4 linked regions of the Oreochromis niloticus genome follow. The protein of the gene in region 3 interacts with the protein of the main gene of each other region in a pairwise test. Links are inferred from orthologs where the notes say so. Each region holds a gene or a part of one and is shown on either strand. Other genes may lie near its edges. The genes, in order: ndrg4, spg21, reep6 and ptpn9a.

Evidence for each region.
Region 1: the proteins of reep6 (region 3) and ndrg4 interact in binary tests that used the Homo sapiens proteins (3 or more experiments, as listed by UniProt). The two-hybrid records come from large-scale screens. The link is inferred for Oreochromis niloticus from reciprocal best matches to the Homo sapiens genes REEP6 and NDRG4.
Region 2: the proteins of reep6 (region 3) and spg21 interact in binary tests that used the Homo sapiens proteins (3 or more experiments, as listed by UniProt). The two-hybrid records come from large-scale screens. The link is inferred for Oreochromis niloticus from reciprocal best matches to the Homo sapiens genes REEP6 and SPG21.
Region 4: the proteins of reep6 (region 3) and ptpn9a interact in binary tests that used the Homo sapiens proteins (3 or more experiments, as listed by UniProt). The two-hybrid records come from large-scale screens. The link is inferred for Oreochromis niloticus from reciprocal best matches to the Homo sapiens genes REEP6 and PTPN9.

What each region holds. Positions count from the first base shown.
Region 1 is NC_031972.2:4,221,879-4,229,668, reverse strand, and holds the start of ndrg4 (protein NDRG4), read right to left. Parts: upstream 3,012-7,790; 5' UTR 2,857-3,011; intron 1-2,856. UniProt on the Homo sapiens protein: Contributes to the maintenance of intracerebral BDNF levels within the normal range, which is necessary for the preservation of spatial learning and the resistance to neuronal cell death caused by ischemic stress.
Region 2 is NC_031965.2:4,634,425-4,641,849, forward strand, and holds the start of spg21 (maspardin), read right to left. Parts: upstream 3,024-7,425; 5' UTR 2,822-3,023; intron 2,682-2,821; coding exon 2,619-2,681; intron 1-2,618. UniProt on the Homo sapiens protein: May play a role as a negative regulatory factor in CD4-dependent T-cell activation.
Region 3 is NC_031980.2:37,191,651-37,199,220, reverse strand, and holds the start of reep6 (receptor expression-enhancing protein 6), read right to left. Parts: upstream 3,020-7,570; 5' UTR 2,926-3,019; coding exon 2,793-2,925; intron 248-2,792; exon of another isoform or gene 1-247. UniProt on the Homo sapiens protein: Required for correct function and survival of retinal photoreceptors. Required for retinal development.
Region 4 is NC_031972.2:44,378,086-44,385,339, forward strand, and holds the start of ptpn9a (tyrosine-protein phosphatase non-receptor type 9), read right to left. Parts: upstream 3,011-7,254; 5' UTR 2,422-3,010; coding exon 2,389-2,421; intron 1-2,388. UniProt on the Homo sapiens protein: Protein-tyrosine phosphatase that could participate in the transfer of hydrophobic ligands or in functions of the Golgi apparatus.

The sequences.
Region 1 (7,790 bases), on a different chromosome or scaffold from region 3:
CAGTGCCAGTCTCATTGTCTAGCTATTGAAAATGCCACTGGGGGGAGGGAGATGGGGGGAGCGGTGGCCTGTGGAGCGGTGCAAAGAACCCAAAGAGCAAGAAGAGTTGTTTCCAAACAGAAGGAACCAGAAAGCGAGCAATGAAAGCCTCACATACCCGACATCTCTTCTAAGGGACAGTTTTGTTACCCCCATCTGAAATTTAGGTTAATCTTACTGTTTTGTCTAAGGAAATGTCTTAACAGAATAAAAGTGTGTAGTCGAGTGGTATATTGAGAGCTGATGTGACTGCTACGCACCTCACAGTCAGTTTAAGTTCTGCTCAGAGGTTAAAATTGGGGAATTAGCCATTTAGCCTTCCTTACTAAGTAGTTAAACGTTCTAGAAGCATAATTTCAGCAGTATGTGATTTCATGCGTTTGTCTTGTATTTTAGAGAAGAGATCACCACGTAACCACACTGTCAAATCTCACAACATGTAGCCTCTGACTTCAGCACTCTATCTGTTATCTATTAATTCAAAGTAATAAAGTAATCCCCATCCAAAAGTCAAACTTTTCTCTTTGCTTTGTTTCAAGCAATTTACTTGTGACCAAAGTATTGTGATTTGAACTAGTCGGTGCTTTATGAAGATCAACTTGTGGCTAAAAGGTCTTTAAGGTGTGAAACCCCTTGAAGTTTATGCTGACAATAGCAAAAATATCACCAGTGCTATCCCTCAGCCTCCCAGTAGACGCACGTTTGACATAAATTTGAAAATTCTACGTGAGATCTTTTCCTATTTAGGGTCTTCATAAGATTGTTAGAAAACTTCACCTCCTACCTTGATCTTCAGTTCAAGGTGAACAAATAGAAAAGGTTAAAAGATTCATGTGACTGCAATGTCCATTTGTTATGTGACTTTAAAATCTATCATCTTCTAGTTTATAAAGCATTTTTCCATTTAGCATGTAATTAAATAACAACATCAACAACACTAAGTCTAACCCTGGATGGTCTGGTCAGTGTTAAGTCCTTAATGAATTATATCTGCGCCTTATGCATGTGCAATTGTATGTTTGATATGCAGATGCAGATATATGCAGATAGCTTCCTAAGCAGTGGCTTCTTGCTAGCTTTTAAAGCTCCTCTGACTTACGGCTTGGTACTGGGACTTTCCTACTACTTCATATGCTTTGTTTATCTGAGAGGTTGTCTTAAATTTTTCATCTGGCTGTGAAATTTCCCCAATACCTTTGATTTTCGTGAAGTCAACAAGATGTAAAGAGCTGGAACCTGTGGCTAGAACCAGCAGGTGAAACATGGAAGCAGGATCGCTCGTATCTTATTGCCATTTTGGACACATAGTAACCCTTATTGTGCTTATAGGGATAGTAACCTTTTTACTTTGAGTTGTAGTGCAATACACAGTGAGTTGGATGTAGGGAGCAGTAAAATTACGAAAAATTATGAGCTGTTAATCGGGGTATAGTAGCAGTAGGTGACATGATTTAAAAGAAAAACCCAAAACTGCATCTCTTCCATTGGAAATTCAGCAAGATTTTAACTCATGTTGTTCATACTTGTAGAAAATTCTGGAATAATGTAATTAATCTATATCCCCAAAAAACCCCTCTGGCCAAATATGGACTAACTGGTGTGAGCTAGCATTGCTGTGTAGCTCGTGATGAACAAGAGCAGGAGCGTATTGCTCTTTGTAAATCTATTTATAAACTGCGAGCTGAGAAACAGACCCGCTCCCGAAGGGGAGACCAGCTCGGCTTCAGCGGCTGTTTCATGTTCTCAAGAAACAGCAGGAAAAATACGAGTCAATAAGTTTCATAGTAGCTTGAAATCTGAACATAGCAAAAGATGCATTGCAAGAAAATGATAAGTGGAGAGCAGTTGCTGATCCTACAGAGAAATTATGTAAGAGGTCCAAATAAAAATGGGACATCAACACTGTTGCTTTTTTAAGGATATGAAAAATGCACTTTAATCTGTTCATCTGTTCATTCTACTGCTGGTGTGACGCAACAAACCTCACTGTCCTGATCAAATCTGCATATACGTTAATGTTGTCTTATATGGTTCTTTAGTTTTTAAATGCGATCACCCAGCCTCTTTATTTTGACCACGATGCCCCGATGCCTTATGATTCTAATCTGTCAGGTCCTGCCAAGACCACTGAGCCAAATGCAGGCACTTTCAGGGCACCACTAACACAAGCCTGCACCAGATTCAATCAACTTTTATGACTTCCACCTACTGTCGATTCATCATCCAGCTGACTCAGTCTCCTTCAAATCCAGCATTGTTTTCTTTAGCACGCATCGCTCCCTCCCCTGCCATTGCCAAAGTCAGACACATCAGAATCAGATGATCATTAAAAGCATCAAGACTTTTTTTTTAAACTACAACTTTATAATCCCACTTCCCAACACAGGAAAATACAATATAAATGCAAAGGCTTTGGGTTTAATACATAATAATAATCCTGTCTGGTTTTCTAAATGTCGCACTTTGGTTCCTGTGGGGTCAATAAATTCAACCTCTTGACATCCTGTTCTCGCCAATGCAGAGGCTGGCAACAGGGGTGTGTATGTGTGTGTGTGAGAGAGAGAGAGAAAAAGTATAAAGCACAAAGCTTCAGCAGCAGCATTCACATACACCGTGCCAAAATTCCCGTCCTCATTTTAACATCCTCCTCCTCTAGTCCTCAAACACAAAGCAGCCTCACTGCATCCGAGCTCAAATCTGAGGGTAGAGTCAAAACACGAAGCTTCTCAAAGAGTTCACCTGCAAATGACTGTTTGCCACTCGGGTAGAAACTGTTGAATAAATATTACAATCCAGGCAGACAAAGCTTTACGGTACCTGTAGTGTTGTTCAGAGCTTCTGTGGCCGCAAAGTCTGGTGTCGCCGTGTTTTCTGTGTCCGTCCCTCAGGCTGCTACAGACTGGCTGAGTGTACGTCTCAGAGTGTTTGTGCGTGAATGTGTGTGTGTGTGTGTCTTCCTGTGGTCGCACTAGAAATGAGAGAGAAAGAGCTCTCTCACCCTCCCTCCCTCTATCTCCCTCCCCCTCCTGATGATAAACACAGAGCACGTGGCTTCACCAATGATGCAGCACGCTGACAATCACAGCACCGAGAAGCGAGGAGAGAAGTGAAGGATGAGAAAGACGCTGGTAAAAATATAACAAAGTGAGTCTGGTTAAAAGGAAGGCGTGGGAACGTCCGTCTTGTTCGTCATACGAAAAATCCAGAAATCTCTCTTTTTCCTCACCAGTTTCAACAACCAGTCATCTGATCTGCTTCAGACTCTCCAGGTGTGTTGCAGGACACATGAGTAGGTGCACTGCAGAGTCAGAGGTCATATGGATGACTACAGTGCCTGCGCTACTGTGTCTGTGTGCAGGGGGAGGGGCATATAACAACACACAAGCGTGTTTGAATGACATTCATTGACATTAAGTTTAAATAAGTGCCAAACATTATTCTGATTGTAAATCTAAGCCTCATAAAGATAAAGCCGTACATATCTTTACTCAACACGATCTGTTTCCTGCCTTTAATGTTCTGTGATAAATGATTTAATTTACTCGTGTTTTTTCGATTAGTGGTTCTCGAGAGAACTACTAAGAGTCTGTAAATGTGTCATTGTTTAGTTTTTCTTTGCCTACATGTGACACATGTGTAAATTGTACCTATAAAACCAGCCAGGCTCTGCACCGGTGCCGTTCTGCAGCCCAGAGCTCGCAAGCTTTGAATTTACTCGGGATTTTGAAACCAGGCAACAAAAATACATTCATCCAAATCTGGAAGAACATATCCTTTTCTGAATGTCCAATTCTGACACGGCTCTCAGACGTCTTCACGCCCACAGACACACACAAACGCACACACACTCAACCCAACAGCCCACAGGCAAACAGAAGAGCTATTTTGTCTGGGTAAAGCAAGCGTCAAAGGAGCTTACCATGTTTGGGCAACTGGGGCATGAAGTGATAGGGGCACTGATAGCTGCATCATCCATGTGTCTCTGGTAGAGTACTGACTTCAGCTTTGCTATGAATACAGTAAGGCTTGTTTATAAGAAAAGATTGTGTTTAGGCCTGCAATTTAAACTTGTCCACCTTCCATCTCTAACCCCGTGTTCCAGAGTTGGGAGTGTGTTGGGAGTGTGTTGTTTACAGGATTGGAGAGCATATGGGACGGTCACATAATCCCCTTTTTTGGGCACCTTACATCGCTGCCGGCCCAAGAATAAACAGAGCCTGATATTGTTTAAACATTCGAAGATTTGGGTAGCTCCGACCTGTTTCCTGACATCTGAATCACGACTCACATTTGTGATGTTACCAGAAATTGATGTGCCTAACCATTAGAGACAATCACAGATGAAGCAAACACCAGTGTGAGTGATGAGGCATTGAAAAGAAACTCATCATAGCTCTCTAATTACTTTTTGTTAAAACTAGTAACATTAAGCATTAGTTTCCAGCTTCATTTTTTCTGTTTCTTTACTTTTAGAAACCATTTGCTGTTCCTTTTGGTTCCATGTTTTTGGCATTGTCATCTCTGTGTTTTGGAATCCAAGCGTAGCCTGAGGTACCCGACCGTAATAGGCTAAATCTAAAGTACGTTTCATTCAATAAGATGGCAAACGCAGGGTCACGGAGCAGGTAAGAGCCAACGAGGAATTTCCCTTTACACCCAGACACCATCTGTTGGCCATTAGCAAGAAAGTAGATTTAAGGCACAGTGCTCGTACGTCTGTCGTGTGCATTAAGAGCCCTAATGAGATTATGAAGAAGCACCTGCACGAGGATCACAGCACCCACAACACTTGAAGCAAACTAAGGAGGAGAATGATGCCAGCATTCCAGCAATGGCTAAACTTTTAGTTTGGCAGAAGCTGTCCCTCTGTGGGAGAATTAACATCCCTGCTGCTGTTTACGTGATAAAGGAAAGGCTGCAAATATCAACTTGATATGACTAAATCATTTCACTTAAAGGTAGAGTAAGTTACTCTTCTCATAAGGTGAAGCTGTAATGTAACACATAGTTTATCAGTAGTAATCTGTTAAAGTTACAGTGCGTAAAATCTCACCGCTAGATGTCAGTGCATTACAGATCGCAGTCAAGTGAATCCTGTTATCTTACCTCCACATTCAAGCACATAATCGTAGCTACGGTGGCCGCTGTAGGACAAACATGTTTTGGTCAAGAGAGATCAAATACATCACATTTACCTCGTGCAGCTGTTCGAAGTCGGGACGGTTGTATGTCTAATTTGCTGACAATAAGTAATTGTGACAGTATCAGGAATAATTAATAAATAATGTTTGTGATAAAGCCCTGACTTCAGTTCAGAAGATGAGGTGGGAGGAAGAGGATCACGTGGTATTCAGGTATTCAGGTGCTGGTGTCGGCGTCTCTTTCCTCGCGTTTTCACCTTTTTGCTGACGTTTTATGTCAGATGATAAAATATGGGTATGGTCCTGCATAACTTGAATCTGAAGGTGCAGAGACGAAATAAAATATGCCTCCACGGCACGAACATGCCTACGAGTTCTCTTCTCCTCCGGCTTCAGTGTTCTGCGTTTGTGGCCGGTGTCTGGCCACATGCATAAGACTGTATTCGACCACTGTATTCAACAAACCAGCCTTATCCTGTGTAGTTTTTAATTAATACAATTATGCATTTATTATATTTGTTAATTTTTAGTATTTATGAGAATGCATCAGTTTGTTGAAAGACATAATGAGACACATAATGACAGTACCAAAAACTTAACATTAAACACTGCCTGTAATCATACTCCATGTACACATATATTATTACTTGCTACCAAAACCGTGTGGCTGTTTAACATGATATCATTCTCAATAGAAAATATTAGATAACAACAGAAAATACATATCACATTTTAGTTGAAACAATTGACATTTATGATCTAATCACAAGCATCTGTGTCTACAGGCAGCTCCCAAAACCTCGCTGTCAGAGCGCTTTCATCAAATGTTTGCTGTTGCTAGGCTGTAGGACTGTGGTCGTCATTGTTGGATTGTAAATAACTGGTTAGAAAATAAAATAGGAAGCAACTAAAGGATGAGGATCATCTGATCTGTCAGGGCAGGATGAGAATCTTCTTAGTATCACAGACAGTATAACCTATGTAGCAAACCCTGAGCTGACCTGTTACACAGCAGGTCCAAACCGATGGCGAGCTCGCCAACGCACTCTCTGCTATGTAACTCATCTTGATTGAGCAGCATTTAAGAATCCCTCTGAATCCAATCTAAATTTAATGTATTCAGTTTAAAGGGATGCATGACTCAGACCGTCATTATGTAAAGCTATGCTGTGTCATTCTATAAAGCACTAAATGTGATACAGATAGAGCTTTTAAAAACATATGTGAGTCCAATTTACGTCATCACATGCAAATTTAGAGCATTTAGCAGATTTGGCATCCATATCATGCTTGTGATGAGATTCTCCTTTCTTTCAGACCTCAGATAGAAGCCACTTTTCTGTTTTGTTGCAGTAGAGAGCATTTACAGCAATGCCACTAATAAGCTGAGGCGTTTTAATTGCAATGATTTTATTTGCCACAAAAGTCAGCTCAGTTTTATTTTAATAGCCCAGAATCACAAATCAGAGATGCCACAAGAGATGGAACAATTCAGCATCATATAAGTGGTTATTATTGAGCAAAGTTGTAAGGTAAATACAGCCTTTCTGCAGTATTTGATACATTGCACAATTCATCAACAATACACTTCAACAAATTACCCCCACCAAGTTACCTTCATTCGTTTTAGTGCCACCTGAGGACGAATTAAGATTTCACACAGATGAGTCATATTTGAGGAGGAGGAGGGAGCGAGGAGGGGGGTGAGGGTGAGGGTGTGGAGTGCTGGTGGGCAACTCAGGCCTGTTTTTCAAAAAATATCTATTTGGCAGGACAGTATAAAGAAGGTTTTGTAAATGGGAGTAATTACTGTATTAATATTCGGTCTGCCCTCTCATACAGAGTTCACAGTAATAACAAAATGCAGAACAGTTTGTTATGTGATCACTTTATCTGACTTTAGACTGTATTACAGATCGCTTTGATTCTGGGTAGTGGGACATATTTTGTTATTAGATAGTTGATGTTTCTGCAAATGTGTTTAGACATTAGACTCTGTGGCAGTAATCACGATTATCATCAGATGACTTTAAGTTTTAAATGTACTTTAAGCACAAACTTTGTTCCTTTATTAACACAAGTCTTTAGTAATTATAATTTCTTTGGTTGTTTTTCTGGCACCAGCTGTACAGTGAAAACACTTTGGGTTATAGACGACAGGTGTACCCCGTACCCAGTTCACATGACATCATTGTTTTTGAGTAAACCACTAAAAAAAATCACCCAGCATAAAGTTGTTATTAAGGGAGAAACTCTTCATATAGGCCAGTTTTGTACCAGCTGTGAACATGATTTCATTGTGGTTCACAAGTTTTTGAGGATTTCCGCTCTGGTTTCATCTTTCAGCTTTGGAGGTTGTCACTTGTGGTGTATAAATACACTAACGTAGGCTTATTAACCAGTAACTGTCCTTTTTTCCCCCAGTCACCAGGTCTGAGACGAGAACAGTGCTATTTTCAGTGCAGCACTTGAAGTATTCACATTAAGAAATTGTTTATTATAGAAACCATAGCTTATCAGCAGCTGACAAATAAGTGTATTTGCAGTGTTACTTACTGCTGAAGAACAAAGAAACATTTTAGTCAGTGATGTAATGGAGAATGGCGATAA
Region 2 (7,425 bases), on a different chromosome or scaffold from region 3:
CACTACATGAGTCCGTGTTGGAGTTTGATTACAGTGTTCACTAAATACAGAATGATGAGTGGTAAAAGTGCTGCAGGCCTGGCTCATGTTACATATATAACCATGCTGCGGTAAACTGTAAACAGACTGCTTCTACTCTACCCAAGCATTTTTCTATGCATGTGCTTTCTATCCAGCATTCACACTGATGGATGCATCAGTATATGGCGTTATTTTTGTGCCTCTATTCTGAGTGCGCGTACATAATTTTTGCAAATACAAATGTTGCATTTTGAGGAGAAAATTATTTTGAGTGAAGAAAATTCATTGCTGCTTGCAAGAAATGTATTTCAGTGTTTGCTATTATCCATGTACACACACATATAATAACAACCCCTCTCGCTCAGTTGTTGGCATTTGCTCTTCCTCAGATCTCTTCTCTGTGTGCTGACAGGTATCTGCAGACCTGCTCCCAGTGTATGTCACTCCCACTCTCAACATCTGTGCTCCCTGCACGCTCAAGTTTTTCTGTTCACCGTTATAAATGTGCCAAAAAAACAAAAAAAAAAAAAAAAAAAAACACAAAACAAAACAAAAAAAACTGATGCAAAAATCCTAAATGGCTGTTTTTGTCTCCAATCAGCTCGCTAGCTACTGCATTCCGGAAACACTGTCCAAAGTGTAGCTAAATCCAGTGGAGTGCTTTGGTTTAAACTAGATTAAAACCCATTTTTGGTTAGTATGTTTAATTATTTTATTTTAAAATATATAATTTTTTAAGACCATTGTTGGTTTTATTCTAGTTTAAACCAAACCACTCCACTGGATTTGGCTAGTAGCTAAATCTTTATCTAATATCTTTTATCCTGTCTTTCTTTTCTCACCCCAACTACATGCAGCAGATGGCCACCCCCCCCCCCGGTTCTACCCGAGGTTTCTTCCTGCTAAGAGGGAGTTTTTCCTTCCCACTGTCACCACCGTGCTTGCATATGGGGGGGGGTCATATGATTGTTAGGATGTTCTCTGTATGTATTATTGTACAGTCTACTTTACAATATAAAGCGCCTTGAGGCGACTGTTGTTGTGATTTGGCGCTGTATAAATAAAACTGAATTGAATTGAAATTGAACACTTTATTCTCACACGTGTTCTCTACTGCACAAATATGGGCACTGCACAGCTGTAGATTAAATGAAGCTTGGAAACAAAAGATTTTTTATCGTCCACGCCGCCCTAGTTTAGCTGTCCGAACACGTGATCCTGAAAACAGCGGCCCTGTGATTACTGCACACAACATCAGTATAAATGTGACCATGTGACAGATGGCTGACTGACCAACATGTGTTAAGGACAGAAGGCTTCAGTGCTCACATGACAACAACGCAGGAAGTTTGCAGTGGCAGAAAGCCTCATGCACACCAGACCTGAGGACAGCCAGGCATTCAGTAGCTCACAGACTAACCACTTGGAACCTAACTATTTCCTGGCACAGCGACAGAGTGAGCCCATGTTCAGACAGCACCAGCAACAGCAGTGTGTTAGTGTGAGCAGCACTAAGCTGCTATGACTCTCCCTGGAGGAGTGTCATTGGAACTAAAGAGAAGATGTAGTGATGAAGAGCAGCTCTAACACATGGAGGGGGGGGAAACGTGGTACATACTAATGTAGTACTAAAGTACTAATGTAGTAAAACTAGTTTGTGGTGCAACTCAAATGCAGCTGCACCAAAAACTGATCCTGTGGATCATATGAGATGTTGTCATGCTCAGTGCCAAAGGTCACACGTCTGGTGATCTGACCACAAGAATGCTTGTACGTTCACGTGTAACCCTCCATGTATTCATGTACACTGCTCTGTCACAATCACTGTGACATTTCAAAATGAAATACACTGCCATGTCAGAAACACGCGTATAACAACATAAACAACTCTCCTTTCAGTCATTCCACTTCAAACAATGTTTTTAGAGAGTTTCCTGCTCAGTCATCTCTGAAAACTCGGACATGGATGATGATGACTCTGAAATTATACCTTCATATATCACATACTTTTCCACATACATTTACTTTTAAAGGCCTATCCACCCACTTTTCCACACTTTAAAGTCTGAGGCCAGATTTGAACATGAGCATTTCAAAAACTATTAAAGAAAAAAGTCTAAACTGTCTTACATCAAAATCAGGATCTGTAATTTAGGACAGACGTTAAAAAACCTCAAAGTTTATTTCTAATGCCACTTCCTGTACTTTAAACTTTCCCCGACTCCTCCAGGGTATGCTCGCAAAGTGTGTTTCCAAAAAAAATTATTTAACAATCATTTTCTAATTAGTCGAACTACATGTGCAAACTCAGATTAGACTGCCTACTGACATTTTTGTTTTCATGCTGCTCAATCCAGCACGAAAGTTAAATAAAAATTGCTTTTGTTTTTTCATTTTTGTGGTTCAGTGGAGCAGAAGGCCCCGGTGAGCTCAGATCATAGTTTCGGTTCCAGCCAGTCTCCGCCATGCACCTGTACTAAACAGTAACGTGGCTTCTAACTGCATGCGAGTTTGGTTTTCCTCGCAGGCACAGAGAGGACATAACAAGTGTGTACTTCCTTAATGACGCAGTGGGCCGAGCAGCTCTGTGTACTCACTCTTTTCAGTGGCACCGTGCTTCTGAACCAGTTGTAGTCCGGAGACACTTTAATCTCGTCCATCTGTGGACACACAAAGTAGCAGTCACAGGATGGCGGCGTGCTTCGGCCGGGGGAGGTTCGGGGAGCAAACACCGCCCGCCGCGGCTACCCGCTGTTAGCTCCGCGGCTAACTGCACGAGACCACCGACTAGACGACTTACCACAGATGTTCACCGCGGCCCGAGACGCCGTGACGCTGCTGTTCCCGTGCTACCCGTGGATGTCAGTCACCGTATCCGAGACTCCAGGTCCATGTCGGGGTACCGTCTCCTGGGCGGGCGCCTGCTCATGTGACTCCGCTTTCACACACTTCCTTAAAAGATCCTGGCTGCCGCGTTCACCCCCGCACCGCTTCTTCTTCGTCTATTGGTTTAATGAAGAATGGATCGAAAGCTTCCAGCGCAGCGCCCCCTGCTGTTTCCGTTTAAGCTAATAATCTAATTTATCTAATAAAAGCAAATATGGTGTAACTGCTCCAGGTTTGTATTATCGGCTGCACTGAAATTAAATCATTCACTGTTCAATAAAATCTTGGTTCTTCCAGTTTAACTTCTGTCAAAAACAAGTCATTAGCTTCCCATTACTCCTTTAAGCTGACTTGATTACAAACAAAAGACGCCTGAGAGGAGCAGAAAGAAGGAAGTGAGTGTTCAAAGCAGTCTCATGCTTTTGAGTCACAGGCATTACTTATGCTGACGGATTATTCCCATGTTTGATATGAGCGCCCCAACCCCTCAACATGAAATAAGGCAATGCACAATAGGTCCTTTCAATATTCAACGGCCTAACCCCATATCTGTTTAACTTTTCCTTTACTTTGGATTAAACCTGTATTGGAAATTTAAACTCTGCAGTATGCAGAGATCTCTGCTGGTTCATAGCTAATTAAGACTGGAATAAAGATAACTAGATCAGGAATGGGAGACTGAAAACTCCAAGATGGAAGTTCAATCAAAATCAAAACCGTAATTATATGGACGACTGAGTAAAAGAGGGAACCACAAGGGGATACTAACCGTAGGAAAGAATTAAAAGAGCACGAGACATACAAATACTAGAGAAATTCAGAAAAGTAGAAGAAGACAACACTGCTGTGAGCATGTTAGTCAGACATGTGGAGAATGATGACGAAAATGAGCAGATACAAAAAGATCAGCTTTAGTATATTACACGTATTAGAGCAGGGATTTTTTTCTGTGTGAGACCATCACATAAACACGTGCAGTGCAAACCACCACTATAACAATAACAAAAGATTAAACTTCCTAGCTCTTGATCTAGCTCCTAGATTAAGAATCTAGCTAATTGGTGCTGAATGAATAGAAGGGAAAACATTAAAATAATAGTGGAAATAAAACAGCTTGTTTGAGCCCTTTTCTGTTGTTGTGCTTTGGCAAAGTGTGCTCCTGCACCTTTTTCCTGGCTGCATGAGTGAAAACAGGCTGTGATGAGGATGACCTCTGCAGATGCGCACACACACAAACACTCGTAACTAGGGCTGGCTATCAATTTCAATTTCTATAACTGATTCGAATCCGAACGACATGGTCCTGATGTGATTCAATCCCTGATTCGATTCCATGTTGACTCAGACAGTCAGAAATATTAATATAATTCAGATCATTTCTTATATCTATGTATAAAAACAAAGGTGACACTTGTCAGACTTCATCACAGTAGATGCCTTTGTGTCAAAGGCATCTGCTGTGATGAGGATAAAACACAGAAAAACATGAAGGAGATTTTCTTGGCCTGGCTTTTTTATAGCAGGTAACCGCCTTAGACCACAGTAGACCAATAAGCAAACAAATAATGCAGAAAACAGATTTTTGATGGTAAACTGTTCTTGGAGCACAATGAGGGAGAGAGAGAGAGAGAGAGAGCTGTGCAGGAAGTGTGATATTATTGCGGTGGAAGCAAAACAGCAAGAGTGAATCTATGACGATGTTTTTCAAATGTGAAGTGTAGTGTAGTCTCCCAATTCAGGGGCGAAATCTTTCGGAGAAGACCGATTTGAAAGCTGATTATGTCACAGCGAGGTGACATAAATGCTGCTCCAGAAATGGAGCAAATGAAGAATATCGAAAAACTAAATGTTAACCCTTTGCACATTTCATCTAATTTTGTTTGGCAATTTACTTATTTTTACTGTTTGCCCTTTTTTGTGCTCCTTTATTTCATCTGCACTTGTCTGTTTGTGACGTTGATTATGAATGATACAGTATACTGTACTGTGCCATGTTTTTGTTTTTCAATAAATGCATTACAAAAAAACCAACAAAAACAAATGTGTCCTCCTTTTCCCCGGATTTGAAGATGGGTCGGGTGTATCCTTCGTTGTCCACGCTATCCCAGGATTCATAGCACGGCAGAAGAGTAAGCTTTTAATAGTAAGTACTCAGTTTTATGTCACTTATTTATGCGGCAAAACAAATGTTTTAAGAAGAACATTAAAACATTACTATTGGCCACGTGTCGGCAAAGTTATCTGACATTAGTGATGTTAGTAGCCTACTTAACGCGGTTTAGGTTCTACTTGATTTTAAAGCCTTTCAAAAGTTGACTTTAATCTTGCAGAGATTGTGAAGATTTTATGGATATTTAAAGTCAGGCTAAACCGTATTACACAGAACAAGCTGACATATAGACAGGCCTGGTTTTCAGCCCTGAATATCACGGCACAAGCAGGATTTATTGCACTCTTAATGTAAGTTTGATTATTTTCCGGCCTCTGTTTGGTGGTGTCGAGCCAAACAGACTTTAGCATTTGTCTTAATGAGCTGACAGTTCGCTCGTTAGGCGAAAAGAAAGGTGCTTTCTTCATAGGAGTCAAACATGTGGCCACAACTGGGAACTCATCTCATCTTATTTAGTACTCCTAATAACACAAAGAGAAAATACTCCTTCTCTTGTGCTGTTTTGTAGTACTGTATACCACCTGAGCCTGTCACTTTTCTGTCTGTCCTGCACTTTCACCTTCTCTCTTTTTTTCTTTCTCTCTGATTGTTAAATAAAAGTGTGTTTGAATCCTGCAGCTTATCACACATTTGATTTACATATCTGAAACCTGCAAGTGTCCAGAGTCAGGACTGAGGAACCCATTGCTGCAAATCATCTGTGAGGCTTTGCACCCCTGATGATCCACCAGGACAAACTCAGCAGTGTGTGAGGAAGAGCCAGCACCAGCTGAGAGATGGAGAGAATAGACAGATTGTTCCCTTTGTGTGAAGGACTGAAAGGTTTAAAATAACTAATTATCTGTCCTGAATCAGTCTTATTAGGTGATATCTAAAATAATTTTATCATTCAAGCGTTTTCAGTGTGGGAGAAAGTACTCAGGGCTTTCAAGTTAAAAACTATGACAGGCAGTAAAAAGTTTTTATATTCAGAAACTTAAAGTATGTAAGTATCAGCACCAGTATGCACCTGAAAATGAGTATCCATATTTTATAAGGATGTTATGTGTTAGTATCATTTCTGCCCAGTTTGACCCATTTAGCAGAAATCATCGTGCTTAAGGCTCTGCTATCTATTCTGTATGACTTAAAGCAGTTATGATATACCACGTTACATATAACATACATATAATAATGCACATTATGCAGTACGCTTCTGCTGTGAGGTCCTGCCTCCATGTACTTATGCATTTAATCTCTAGATGGGTATATTTAAGTGTGCCTATGCCAAGAGGCACACTTATTACTATTCGTCGGATTTATTAAGTATGCCTATGCCAAGAGGCACACTTATTACTATTCGTCGGATTTATTGTGTGGATGCCCTCAAAGGGCTTCCACACTATTGAGTTCCTGTTTCTCTTTATTGTGTGGATGCCCTCAAAGGCATCCACACTATTGAGTTCCTGTTTCTCTTTAAACTTTATTCTTTTTCAAGTTGCTGCGCGTTTTTCGGCACTTAACTACTCCCTCAGTTTTCAGCCGATTTTCTCCGTTCAAACTCTAAACTGTTCTGCTATTTCTGCTAATTCCAGCTATATCTTTTGGTGTTTATTACTATTATACTTTTTAAAATATTACACTTTTTTCCTTTAATTTGTCCCATTGAAATGAATGGAAAACTTCCACAACTCTGCTAAAACTTGCTTGTTTTTGAAACTTAACTACTTCCTCATACTTTCACCTAGAAACTCCATTCAAACTTTAAAATGTTCTCAAATTATTGGGCTATTCCTGTCTGATTCAGCTTTTTCAGATCTTCTACCGTTTTAATTTAATGCCTCTTTAAGTTTTCAGTTGCAGCTTTGTGATTTTTCAGAAAATACATGCGTTGTTATGGTTGCTATGCAATTAACTCACAGTGAGCACTGGTCCTTTCTGAAACTTCTCTTCATGTCCGAACAACTTCTTGCTGCTCACTCAATTTTCATTCAACCCCCGCAAATTATACATCAAAACGTAGGTATTTTTGCTGACTTTCAGACAATGTCACTATCTTTATTGTGAGATTTACCGTTTTTTCACAATTTGCCTCGAAGTGACACAAGGTTTCAATACTCCCCATTCAAAGTCTATGGGGAGGTTTTGAAATTCAGAGCTGAAATTCTGTAACGGGAGGCATTTTCAAATCGCCATATCTCTTAAACAAAGCAAAGTTAGGACATGAGGCTTGTGCCAATATATCTTCAGACACTGCTGACACTCACAGTGGAAGCAGTTTTTACAGTTATCTTACCGTTGAGCAATGAATTACGTTTGTTTGAGGGGTGGAAATCTGTCCTCCTCTCAGTTTTCAAACTCCGAAAATG
Region 3 (7,570 bases):
CGCTGACATCATGTCCTGCTTAATGTGCTACAAATCCACTGCACCAGCATCAACGTGCTCTCAATACACTGCTGTTCCCTGCTCACTGGATCACTGTGTTCACACAGACCTGAGAGCCCTTTTTAAGACTACCAACAAAATACACTGTTTGATCTGTATTTATTTTTAGAAAACAACAAAACTTTCTTGTAAAAATGTCGACAATATTTATAAAACAATATAATGTGCAAGAGCTTCAGGAATTCAGCAGGAAAGGCAGAAGTAGAGTAAAGTGATGGTTCTCTTCCCATTTTCTGTTAACACTGAACACACTGCTGTGATGTTTGAATAACCTTTACTGAACTCACCGTAGACAAATCAAGTATGGAGGTTTTGCCTTTAAGATTTTATGGCAGAAACGTTTTTTATTTCGACCTGAACAATGAACTCCTGAACCCACAGAGGTTTTCTTTGTCAGAGCTGGATGGAAAAGCCATTTTTATGGTAAATGGACGAAAGCACTTTTCTACTCTATTTGCGCACTCAAAGCGCTTTACACAACTTATACATTCACCCATTCACACAAGCACTTTTTTTCATAGCTGGTTCTAAGTGCTTACTATCTGACATTTACACACATTCATACTCCAATCCATGCATCGGAGAGCAACATGGGGTTAATATCTTGCCCAAGGATATTTGGCATGCAGACTGGGATTGAACCACCTTCCAGTTACCTGCTCTACCACCTGAGCTACACTCACCCCCATTTTCAGTTAGCTAATTTGGATGATTTGCCTTTTAGAAATGAAGATGAAGTAACATGGTGTAAACTAATTAAAATTCTTGAAATCAGAAACCCAACAAGACCTTTGTTGGGGTGGCTGTGGCTCAGGCGGTAGAGCAGATCAGCTACTGATTGGAAGGTTGGTGGATGGCTTCCCCAGTCTGCATGCCAAATATCCTTGGGCAATCCATGCGTTCATTGGAGTGTGAATGTTTATTATTTGCACTTAAACCCCAAATAATTAAATATCAAGAGCAGCCTGAGAGTCTGTGTAACTCTTCCAAGGCTGAAAATTTCAACCTTCCACCAAAGGAATTGAGTCCCGGGATCAAGAAGGATATTTGATCTGAATTCATTTGTGATGCTTTCTTGAGAACATTTTCTGTTAGGTCCACACAGGACTAAAAATAATTAATAGGCCTCCCTCTAAATGGCTAACGTGTTGTGACCATGTTAGGGACCACATGGTCTAGGAAACAACTGACACTAAAGATATAAAATAAAGTCAAAAGAAAGAATCCTGTTAACAACCTTAGCTTCTGTTACCCTCTTGATATCCAAAAGATTACCAAAAATGTTTTTTATTTTTTATTTTTTGTATAGCTTTGTTTTTAAATTGGTGAAAACATTTTAAAATCTGTGACATTTCAAATGAAGTCTTGTGTATTTTGCTGTAACAGAATTTCTTTTAAAATATTCTCCATTTGTTGTTGCAAACATGTGAAACTTTGATTTAAAGGGGACTGGATGAGTTGCCAGTGTGGGTAGGATAATTCTTTTGATTGTTTCTAAGCAGTTATAATTCTCTTATTTCACCTGTCATTGTTTAAGGTTGCCCTTTATGCTTATGAAATTATGCGTCATTATAAACAATGACTGGTGTCCTATCAGAGTTTGTTTTGGGTTTTTTTGTCTGAACTTAGCCAAAATGTGACAGAGAAATTAATTAAAGGTGGAAAAAATACAGCTTTAGTTCCACACAAGATACTAGCCCCAGTTTCAGTTTTTCCAATTTCATTGTACTATTGTACCATATATGACTGTGCAATAACAATAAAGAGTTATCTTTAAGAGACAGAGAGTTATTCAAGGTTACAGCTGCAGAAAGCTTTTGGGACTACCGCAGGTTTCTTTGAACCACATTAGTGTTTGTGGATATTTACCCATTCAGAGTGAAGGATTCCTGGTATGAAGCCTACACAGATGTGCTTGTGTGTCCTTCACAAAACCAACAGTGTATACATCGCCAATTAAGCCATTTTTTTAGGTATAAAGCTGACTATTTGAAAACTGGATCAGAACAGGAAAGAAGTGATAGCGGGTTACAACAGTGAGGAAGAAATGTGATAAAGATTATGCTTAACCTTTAAAAAGCATGAGAAGTTCAGACAGTGGCTATAGGACAGCTTCTTTGTTTTTGACACTCGGTTTCACTTCATTTTATGACTGGTCTTCTGTGCGGCAGGCAAAAAGTTACACATAAGCTGAGCGTAGGACCAGCATCAAACTGGGGTAAAACCAGTCCTTTAAAGCTGCTAACATAGTTGATCCAAGAACTAAAACATAAGAAGATATAAAGAGACTTCTGCCCATCGCTGCTTAGTCAGAGAAAGTACTAAACATTAGTCTTTCAGCTCAGGGTGATACATGTCCTATCAAAGAACTGGACACAATGAAGCAGGCACTGCCACAAAACCAGGAGCTTAATGATCCTAAAACCCCGAAGGGCCGCAGAGCCAGTTTATCTGAGTTCAATATGACAAAATATTTATTAGTGCAGAGGATTAACTGCAGAATAAATGAAGCAGAAAACCTCCTGAACATTACCAGCTTCCTGTTGTGGACGGCAGCTGATCACAGGAGGATTAACTGAATCCTCTTCAGGTTTCCACTGGCCTGCAACAAGCTTTATACAAATCAACTACATCTAGAACGAGAGCAGAATGATCCAGAAGTAGCCATGTGCTACTACACAAAGCAGGCAAGTTGGGAAAAAAATAATTCTAGAAGATTAAATCACACGTACCAAGAGCAATGACCTTCTTCTTGATCCCAGTTTTCTCCTCCATTTTTCCCAGAATATCTGTCACCACATTTTTCTCATTTAGAAACTTTTCAGCTCGGTCTTTGATAGAGGTGATAATATTCAGCAGGCCCATTTTCCTCAATCTGGTCCTCAGACCACAGAGAAGTCGGAGGACAACAGCCTGCAGTGAGTCCGGTGCCGAGTTTAATCCTCTAACAACCACAATCTGCTATAATGAGGAGGAGGAGGAGGAGCACGCAAGGAGGTATTGAGAAGTTCTTTTTATAAATATTTTCATTTATTAAAGACAGAGTAAAAAGTGAAGAAGCTATATACATGATATATATCAGCTAGGCTTTACACAGCTTTATAGCTCAGCCACTGATCAGTCAATTATTATCAATGACTGTGCAACACTTTTGTGCAGGTTAGAGCAATTTAAAATACTTTAGAGAGGAGTGACAAAAGTCTATTGTAAAAAGAATAAAGTCCAAAGCACACAGGTTACAACAGCTATTTAAGTGTAATAAAAAGTGTAATAAACATGATAGGTTTTCTGTATATATGATCCATGACAAAGGTTTGAAGGGAATTTAATACTCTTACCTGATGTTTTTCAAGAAAACTCACATTTCCTGATAAAAAGGTGGCATTATTCCTTTATGCAAGTCAGTTTTCCATATATCAAAGATAAAAACAAATTAAATAGTTACCTGATTTAACATGGACTCTTCTCCCTTTGAGGGTCATTTTGTTCTTGCATATTTGGAGTACCTTCATTTCTATTCCTTTAAAAAATGCAGTTCTAAAAAAGTTTGAAAGTGACTGTCATGTGAAAATGGCCAGCTTTATATCAATAATAATAATAATAATAAAGAAGAATGAAATGAAGAAAAAGGATGCCTCACCGGTTGGAGGCATCACTTCCTGAAAAATGAGTGAGACTACTGGATAAAATTCTTCACTTTCTCTCTTTTTGGGGGATTTTTTTTTTTTTTTGTCAAGTCATCTATATTTGATAACAGCATAATAAAAGGGGAAATTCTATTTTTTGTGTGTCACCCCAATGTTTTTAGTGGTCCCCATATAGCCACTCTTTTAAAAAAAATTCTGGCGGCGCCCCTGTCGGGTACAAATTTTAGTGTCCATAAAGATGCGCAGGAACGACGGAAGTTTAAGCTTCCTTCAGAATGGCCCAGGACAAAGAGTACATACATGCTACAAGTTGTGTTTTGTGTTAAAACCCTCACTGTATTGTTTTTATTATTGTTTAATTATTATTTTTTTCTTTTCTATTATTTCACAGTTGTGTGTTCTGTCAGACTTTGTATGTTCAATTTAAAATAAATAATTAATTTTAAAAAATAAATAATACAGTGGCCGTGAGTTAGGTCGCTAAAAATATTACGACCCCTCAACTGCATCCTCGCATGATGACATCATTCTGCGACAAGCTTATGAGCGAACTGAGTGAGTGTTCCTCAAAGACGCGAAGCAAACGTAAATTCTCTTTTTTAGGACTGATTCGCATCTGAAACTCGGAGACGACAGGTAGGAGAAACGCTTAGCTGTACTGTCAGCCTCGCTTTGGCAGCGTGGAAGGTCAATTTATAAAGTAGCGCCTATGTACTCAAAGGAATATGATCACCTAGCCACCCGTTAGCATCGTGCCGCTGTGGTTTGGCGAACACGTCACGCCAAGCTCCTTTCAAATCTCTTGCAGTACATCGTGGTCTTTCTTCTAGAATCTAGAGCGAACCTCAAGTGTAATAGAGGGAAACTTAAAGACATATAGTTAACTGTCGAAATCATCTGTCAAATCCGGCCTATGTTGCATACAGAAAGTAACACGGGTTGACTAAATACAAGCATTTTAGCATCAGCTTCGTCCTTTTGTTGACACATTCTTTCCATTTCGAGTCATGCTCAGTCGGAAGATAAATCAGCTGCTTGTTAACTTCAAAGAGATACATTCGTGTCCGATGAGTTAGCTGTAGTCTTAAGTTGTCAGGGTTTCACCAATACAGCATAACCGCCTAATTCAGTACTGATTATAGTAATAGCGTTAGACTGCGAGATTTGCCAAAGCAGTTCCAGGAAACCCATTTTTAAACGTAACGTATATCCTGAAGAGCCAAATAAATTCTAGATGTGTGCTGATTTTTTAGTTGTCCTAACTGGTATGCTAGCACGCTAAGCTAGAAATTAGCCAGAGATCTTGAGTCAGTGTGTGTGAGGTGACTCCTCAAAAACTTCACTGATTTGAGCAGTTTAAAACACGACAGACAGATCTCCTTTATCAGCTCGCATCAGCTGCTCTTCTGTTTGTGTAATGGTTTTATGTTCAAAGGTGGTTAACGTTAGCTCTGCTCACACAGTGCTCGAGTTGCTAGAACATTCTCCATGCTAATACCAAAGGGGGGGTGGCTAAACATACATCGTCGTGATGGTGTGGTGGAAAGAAGGTACATCCATGTCTCTGAGCATTAATCACTGTTGATACTAGTTGTTAATGCATTATTAATAGCATCATCTGACAGAATAACCACACAAAACTTTACACCCCCCCCCCAAACAGCAATATAGCAGAGGCTGAAACAAAGAAGTTTGTGCAATGACAATAAAGGCATTCCTTCGTGCTGCAGAGATCAAATTCAAAATAAGCAGGTATGTTCAAAAAACATCAAAGTTGGTACTCAATCCTGGTTGATACCAAGGAAAGTAATAAATATAACAAAATGTATGCATGCATGCATATAAATACATGCTGCATGTCTACATATAGAGTGATGTGATTAAAAAAAAATCAGACACATCTGAGAGCTGATGAGGTTAATTACTGACATAATGAGGTGTAAAAAGGGCATTACTGATGCTGAGTATTTCAGAATTAAAGATGGGGTCTGCAGTTTGTGAGACAGAAAGAGTTAGAGAGCTAGCAGAAATTTCATGAGGGGAAAAGGCTGAAACAAAAACTTTTCCTGTGACCCTTAGGCCTGCAGGCAGCACAGTTTTGAAAACAGACTGTTTTTCATAGTGTAAATGCACGGCCTCGGCAACATTTCTGGTTTGGTCAGTACCGCGTAAGGTGTTTAACATAAATTCCTATAGTGAACTAAAGTTAGCCACACTTGTAAGGTTGAAAACTCTGGCTTTAGGCTCAGAATACATTACTGATATGCCGTGTTTACCCTCTGATCTCCTCCTAGTGTCGTTAAAACAAGAGGTTATGTAGTACGAATTCAGACTTTACTGAAATATGTTGCTCACATCAAATTCAAAGTTGGCACATATTCTTTTAATGAACAAATGCACTGCACTATTTTCATATAATACTTAAGCGGCATTTAAGTGATTTGGATTTCATTGCATGCATTATGTACATTTACAGGGTTCCGGTTCTTATTGGAAATAAGGTTTTAGTTGCAGGGTGTCTCTCCCTCAGTGAAGACAGAGACGCAGCACCTCTGCCACCATGACAGACAACAAACGCCTCGCTTTCTCCATCATCCAGTTCCTCCATGATCAGCTCCAGTCAGGCACTCTGTCTTCAGATGCTCAGGAGAGTCTCGAAGGTGAGTCCTCAGACATGAAGAAGAACAACATGAAGCTGCTCAGTTTGTTTCTCTCCTGACTCAGAATGCACACTTAAACTTTCTCATGGGGAATAAGTTTGTGTTGTAGTGTCTTATAACCATGGACCAGGGAGATCATAATGTATGGAATTATTATTATTGTTATTGTATTTGTTTTTATTACAAAAGCTCAAAATTCCAGTGACTCCATTTGACTTTGATCATGGTCAAAATCATCACTGACTATTATGCCAGCAGATTTTCTGACGGAGTCAGCTACAGCACTAAAATAAGTTCAGTTTAATATTTCTTTCCACAACATATATAAGTATACAGCGTACATAGTCTGGCTTCATATGTCCGAGTCTGGGTTGCAGGAGCAGCAGAGGAAACAGAAGTACAAATATTTCAAGATTAAGTAGAGTAACTAATTTTTAAGTATCTGTACTTTACTTGAGTATTGTTTTTTTATGACAACTTTTTACTTTGACTCTCTACATTTTTACACAAATCTGTATTTTTTACTGCTTAAATTTTCAAAATGGGTTTGTTACTTTGGGTTTAAGACATTAGTCTGTGTCTTCAAACATCAGACTGATTTGAGCCAAGTAGCCCAGTTGGGACCAGTAGCACATAAAAGACAGTACTATTGGTGTATCCATCACCAGGTTGTATCACGTACAAAGAAATGAAAGAGGCATTGTTTATAGAGCTAAGTGGACCAGAACAATCCAGTGGTGTTCTTGGTGCAGATATCCCTAAGTTGTACAGAAGAGGAGCGAGCATACAGGGAATAACATGTTAAGTAGCAGGTATTTTCAAGTGCAGCGTTTCTGTAATTGCTCAACAATCATCAGCAAACACACAAACTGTTCTTGTGCAGTTTGTCATGGAGTGTGTTTGCTAACTAAAGGTCCAGCTGCTGTATTTCCCAGGGAGAGAAAAGAATGAGAGATAACTTGAGTCAGAGATGGAGAAAGATGTAGGAGAAACAGGACAGGAGAGGACGAAGAGGGGTTATATTTAAAGGTAAGGACTGTCCAGTGACAAACTGATAATTAATTGACAAGCTGGATATAAAGGCTACATGTAATGTCCTGATTTTTTAATCACATACATACTATATATTGTGTGAAGCTATGTGTAACATTCCTGCAAAATAGACATGATGCACGAATGCATCATGTCTATGAATGCAGGTTG
Region 4 (7,254 bases), on a different chromosome or scaffold from region 3:
AGATAGCCTCCCTTCTCTGAGCCTGGTTCTGCTGGAGCTTTCTTCCTTCCCACTGTCACCAAAGTGCTTGCTCATAGGGAGTCATGACTGTTGTAAGGTCTACCTTACAATATAAAGCACCCTGAGGTGACTGCTGTGATTTCGTGCTGTATAAATAAAACTGGGAAAACCCCACTTCTGATCCTGTTCAAGCCATGTTTAGAGCTAAATGAATCCTGTCAAATGCTGCTATACATATCAATAAATATGTTCTTTAGAGCGTCTACTGACATTTTTAAGTATGCACACAAAGCTTCCATTAAATGCATGTAAAATTATCCATCCATCCATTCTCTTTCACTTATACTTATTAGGGTTGTGGGGAGGCTGGAGTCTATCCCAGCTGCCATAGGGCGAATGGTGGGCTACACCCTGGACGAGTTGCCAGACTGTCACATGACTAAAAGACAGACAACCATACAGACCTATGAGCAGTTTAGAATCACCACTTAACATAACCCCACTGACTGCATGTGTTTACACTGTGGGAGGAAGCCAGAGTACCTGGAGAGAACCCACCTAGACACTGAGTCAGAAAAAAAATCATTATCAAAGAATATGGGCAAAACAGAAGCAACACTCCCTTTATAATTTTGTTGACCTTGACTACAAGTCCACTCTTGCCCGTTTGTTTTCCTCTCTGTCTTCATTGTGCTCGCTTCTGTTCTCTTCAACTTTGTGCTGTTACCCAAAAGTTAAATTATAACAGTGAAGCAGAACTTACAAACCAATAAAAGGCATAAACTGATCCTCATTTATAACAATATTCAGACTAACTACAGGCTGCTACTGGACGTAAACTTCCTTTCGACTTGCTCTCACCTGGATCTGGAGCTGTACTGTAGACAAACAATGAAGCGCAGAACCGGAATAGAAATCTTTAACAAACTAAAAAGTGCACAAATAAAGTACATCAGCTCTTTTGCTGGTATATCACTAGCTGCCAGCAGACTAGTGGCTCGAAAAGCTAAAATTAGTGAATAATCTCTGGTGATTTAGGCTACATTAGCTAAAGTTTTTGACACCATTTAGTTTTTCAATCTGCATCACTGATTTGTGTCATGAAATTACCTCTGCATATTCTTAGTCAAGTCTTATCTAGAGTATTAATGACAAACCACACTGCTGAAGCAGCAACGCCTCTGTGAGAGACTGAATCATCATGGCACCAACAACACTGGGCAGTTTTCTTTAGGGATGCCTGAGCACCCCTAAAAAGGGTCTGAACTCGCCTATGTAAGATACCGATACCAGCATCGGCATCGATATTTCGATCTGCCCACCTCTACCATCCATGCATAATTCTACTACTACACTTTGTTTTATAGCTAGGTCTGTAAAGGATTTCCATCCTCATATGATTAAATACTTGAAATCGCAGGAATATTCAACTCAAAAATCACAAGTCAAAAAAGAGCAAACAAGTAAATCTTCACACTTGAGGACCTGTTCAGATATTACCTCAATAAACAAACAAAAACAAAGGCTGGCTGCTTATTTGTCCATCATCTAAGGGATTTATCAAGCAAATCCTTCTGCTCCAATAATCAAGAGTCTCATCATTCCTAGAATAAACGCTCCGTTCTTCGGGCTCCGAGTTCTTGACGCCTAGAATGAGCCAATAGGCCAATTCCTGTTCTTGGAATAGTTTTCTCAGAATTCTCTCACTTCTCAATACTTCCAAGCCTCGAAGTAGAAAAACAGGCCAATAATATCGAAAACGATATGATGACTTAAAGCTGGTGTTTAAGAGTGTGGAGACAGAGTTTGCACGCCTATTTTTACTTAAAGCAAACAACAAAGTACTCAAATATTTGAGAGAAACGCACTTCCTCCATCCTTAACTTAGAAAGTGCGGCGATATGTGCGTTAAAATGTGCTCGGATGGCACGGCATGAGCATGCAGGACTCTTTACGCTGAGCCAAGTTTCTACTGTGTACATTTTGTCAAAGACCGGCCAGCGTTTCCGACTCTCGCGGCCAAGCAGTTTCCCGTCAATATCACCGTGTTTAACTACGACACACGAAACAAACATGCCCCCCCTTCCCTTCCATTTTCTGGGGGGGCGATAAAGACAAGCTCGGCCTGTGCTGCAGCCCATCAGCTCAGCCGCTGACAGTGATGCAACGAGAGCAGTAATGCGCCAGAAATCGATACAATATTTCCGCTCTGCATTCAGGACCGTTTCGGAGCACAGCCACCATTTGCGCACTCTCAGTACACAGGGCAAAAAAAAAAAAAAAGCCTCCAGGTAGAGTCTCGAGACTGAAAGATTTTTATTTATTTATTTTTAGCCAACATAACCCAGAAACGAAGAAGTGGAAAAGACACGGACTCTCGGGGCCTACCTGCTCTTCCTCCGCTGATAAAGTAGCTGCCATGATTCCCGTCAAATCTTTGACCACTTCTTTTTTTTTGTTTCCTTCCCGACACTGCTCCGTTTCATACAGCAGAGGATGGCGGTGATGTCGGTGTGTCTGTCCCTCGTGTGAAAAAAACGGGGTTTGGAGGAGGAGGTGGAGGAGAGGGGTTGTCCCTCTCGCTCACAAACTTGAAGGCATCTAAAAACGCCACAGTTTTTAGCCGAGTGTGTTCGCTCCTGATACCGCCTGCGATCGCGAAGCACGCGGGCCAATTAGCATAAATCTACCAGTCTACAAACTCGAGCGAGCCGCTGATGTGTCAGATTTCACCGAGAAGGAAATTGGAAATGGAAAAGGGAAGGAGGAAAAAAAGCACGGCGCTCGGAACAGCTTAGACGAGGACTCGCTTCATTCAGCTCGGGTTCAGACCGTGTTGTGCAGCTCCTCCACCTAACTTAGCATACGTCGGACTGCGGCTGCCCGCTGCCTCCTCCATGCCATGTATCGCAAGTTTTGGGGCTGTGAACCTCGCCTTTATGCTGTGAGACGGTGACACGCGCACGACCCTGAGCACCGCGAGAGACCGCAGGCTTTTCTCTCTGCGTATCGCTGCGCCCCCCCCTGGTGGATAAGTCGAGAACATGACGAAAGCACACTGACCTCCGCCTTCATTCATAAAAATAGAAAACTAACAAGGGAAAAACGCCACTCTTAACATGGTTAAACCTAAATGGATGCTTTATTTGAAAAAGAACACGTGAAGAGTGCGTTCAGTGATATGTATTATTATATTATGTTTCCTGTAAGTACAAAATTTGACCTCAGTTAATCTCAATTTAGCTAATTAAGTGAGTAGTTTTGACTAGGGAGGCTATATTTCAAGTGAAATCTATAGTTTTTCAGCATTTATCCTAAAGCAACTGGAACTTTCTATTTTTATAATACTACTACTAATTCTAACAAGTTTGAATGAACATTTAATGTTTTCTAGAGTTGAGCGGATGAATCCGAATATTTATAGTATCAATAGCAATGCTGGCGTTACTTTTTCTATCCTCTAAGTTCGGTATGCAGCCCACTGGTAAATTATTCTTTTGGAAATGGAAAAAAATAAACCTCAAACATGCACTATGGTACATTTAAACCACATAAGTTGACCCAAAGTGCATTAGAGACCTGTCTCTGTCACAGTTATGAACATACACGAACAGCTTGAATGTGTGTTTTGTTGTATTAACTAAATATCGTGGAAAGTAATCACAACCCGTAAATAAGCTGCCTTTATAGGTTAAATGTGTCTGTATCGGTTTTGGTATCAGCGAGTCTGGCCCTGTATTTACTTACTTTCTAATATTTCTAAGGTAATGTAAGCAAAGAAGCAAAAGGTGTAAACTCTAGCAGCTAGGCACTAGCTGACTGAAAATATATCTTTGCATGCTAGTTATATTTTCAGGTGAGGATGTTGGACTATTTTTAAATATGTTAACTAAAAATAGAATCTTAGTAACACACCTTGTTGAGTGTGAGGAGTTAACTAAAACTGATGGCTATTTTATGTAAGGGCTAGTGCAATTAAAGTGTTAGCTTAGCATATTTTAGCGTACAGTCTAGAGGCACTGCTCACTGCTCATGCAAGGGTGCACATTTTCTTTTTGTTGTTGTTGTTGTTGTTTTTTTTAAGTAGTATTGAGCAATAGTTATCCAGACTGCCAAGTTTTTCTTTGGACATTGGCTGGTTTCTCATTCATTTTCAGTCCAGTCATGCTGTTTATACATGTAACAGACAACTTAGCAAAGAACCAATTTTAATTTCTTTCTCAAGCCACTTTTTTACGAGCACCCTGTTGCAAAACCATACCAGTTGTTTACATTTCCTTAGTCAAATCTATGAAAAATGCCAACGATAACACATTTTGACAGGCATTAAAATGATTTTCTGCATAAATAAAGTTATTCCCAAAAGCCAAATACTTGGCATATCATTGCACGGTGTGCAGTGTCTCCTAAAAAAATACTAAGAAAATTGGACAAACAGAGGACATAAGAAGAAATAGTTCACCCCCCCCCCAAAAAAACTAAACAAAACCCCAAACAAACAAAAAAACCTATCCACAGCAGCAAAGACCTGAGACAGGATCTGAAAGATGCATTTGGCTCTGTAGTTGATCCATCCACTGTTCATCGAAACCTTGTCAGAAATGGTCTCAGTGGAGCGGTGGCTGCCAAGAAGCCATTCTTAAGGAGAGAAAATGTGAAGAAAACTCTGAGGTAAATACTGAAAATCAGTGGCAACATGTCTTATGAAGAGATGATTCCAGATTTGAAAATTTTGGTAAAAATGGTCATCAATAAGCACAGAACAGGTCATGTAGAGGTACAACAGTGACTTTCTATAGACATTTGTGAAACACGGTGGAGGGGCTGTCTTAGTTTGGGGCTGCATTTTAGCCAGTGGTGTTGGACATCTTGTCAAAATTGATGGAATTATAAACTCAGAATAGTACTGTCAGATTGCACTACCATCTGGAAACCATATGATTGGCATCAGCTTCATTTTTCAACATGGAAACGATCCCAAACACACTATAAAAACATATCTGGATATTAAAAAACAAAGAATGGAACGCCATCAGCCATGGATTGGCCTACCCAGAGCCTCGACCACAACATTATTGAAGCAGTGTGTGATCATCTTAACAGAAAGCAGAACAACAGACAGCCAATATCCAAAGAAGAGCTTTGAATGTCCTTCAAGGAGCCTGGAGAACTATTCCTGAAGATACTTAAAGAAATGACAAGAAAGCTGCCTCAGAGAGTTTAAGCTGTGTTGAGGATAAAGGTGGCCATACCAAATATTGACCCTCATTAAGCTTGTTAGAATTGTACTTACTTTATATACCTTATAAATTCCTCATATTCCATGCATGTTTGCACATAATTCCATAAACTGCTCCACCTATTTCCCATTTTTCTTGCAAAATATAAAGAATTAAGGGGTGGCTCAAGACTTTTGCACAGTGCTGCAGCTAGTTTGTTTGTTGGACTCCAAGCTGTATTCCTGATTCAAGAACTTTAAATCCTATTAATGAAGGGTTAACATTCCTTTTATTCTTTCTGCCATTGAGCTGGCACTGCGACCTCAAACAGCCTTTTCTCGGTTAAAAACACAATTAATCCAATGAGCAACACCAGAATCACCATTAGCCAGTAAGCACCATAGGTAGGACTAACTGCAGTGTCATGGTGTTTGTTGAGTTTGTCAAGCTGTGCATTGCAACTTTCTTAAAGGTACATGCAATCTGAAGCAGAATGTTATTGTAATTTTCAGCCACTGTAATCTGCATTCATAGTGTGCAGCTTTGTGCACATTTTTCATCAGCTTTGAGTCTACATCACAGCTGCACTCCCCAAACCAGCAATTCACATTATTAATGCATTACATAAAGTGGGAAGACACAAATAATAATATGAGCAGGCCCATCCATAATAGTTGGTTGCACTTATAGCAGTTTAATTAGTCAAACTTTCAACTCTTGCTTCCTTCTTGCTACATTATAATCTAGTAGAGTTTACAGGAAATGCATGACATCATAAGAATGAGAAAATACCCAACAGCACGATAAAGTCACTGTAACATGAGCCACAGACACAATACAGGTCTCCCTTGGAATATTATGGGCTGCTCATATAGTTCAGCAGGGAGGTTATTTCGAGCGCAGCCAGGAGATTGCATATACCACAAAGCTATTGAAGGCCATCATTTCACGCCTTTGGGTGTTTTAATGAGACTGCAAAGGTAAAATGATGCAAAACAAAGTGAGAGGCCGTGCTTATCTCAACATAGGTCGATAGAGAAGGAAGGGAAGATGGCAGAGTGTTTGTCAACGTGCTTCTGTAGGCCATCAAATATAGGAACACTGGAAGGCACGATTATTCCCCCCACAATAAGCAAACTTTAAATATTGAAGCGTGAGAAAGTCTTGCTTGAAAACCAAAGGGAAAAGGGAGTGGACAACAATAGACTTCCTGTGAAACCAGCTGACATCATCCTTTGGGAAAATGTGATTGGTAAACCTTTAGCCCTTCCCCCTAATAGTGTCAATCTGACTAAAAAAACTAAAAAAAAGGACGCAGTAAACCTGTGAGAAATAAAGATTTCAAGAGTTGATAAACACATCAATAAAAGCTAGAGAGGAAGGTGAGGTTCTCTACAGTTGTTGCCAAAAAAAAAATCAGTTCGCTACAAGATTGAAGTTGTTTTACATAATGCGGGTTAATGACACGAGCCACTTCAGGCTTTATACATCAAGTCTAAAATGGGTGCTAAATGCATTTCGCAAACACACAAACACACTTAGCCAAACTCTGTGAACCCAGTGCTGCATGAAGCTGTATGATCTTAGTGCAGTACGTAAGAACTGAGGAGATTTAATGACCTGAACAGCAGTTTACACTCTTTTATTAACGTGGCACACAGATGAAGTTTGCTCTCACTGATATTACTCTCAGACGTGCACAGAGAAAGAGAGATGTGCAGAAGAAACACAAATCTGCTTCACTCCTTAAACGTCTTGTAACAAGGTTTTTGTAAAGATCAGAGCATCTGTGTCTGTGTGTGTGTGGAGGGGGGGAGACTGACAGCACTATGAAAAATGTATCTGTGAATTGGCAGGTGCTCGGTTCCTGGAAAGTACTGCTGAGTCATATCGGAATTCTTGCAGTAACCGCACATCTCGCTTTGCTCTGTTTGACATGTCTCTCAGTACAGAGGTGAAAGAGGAAGTATCCGACTGTACTCGATGAACTGCATTTGTCAATTTGCTCTGGATTACACAAGGCGTATTCTTTAGA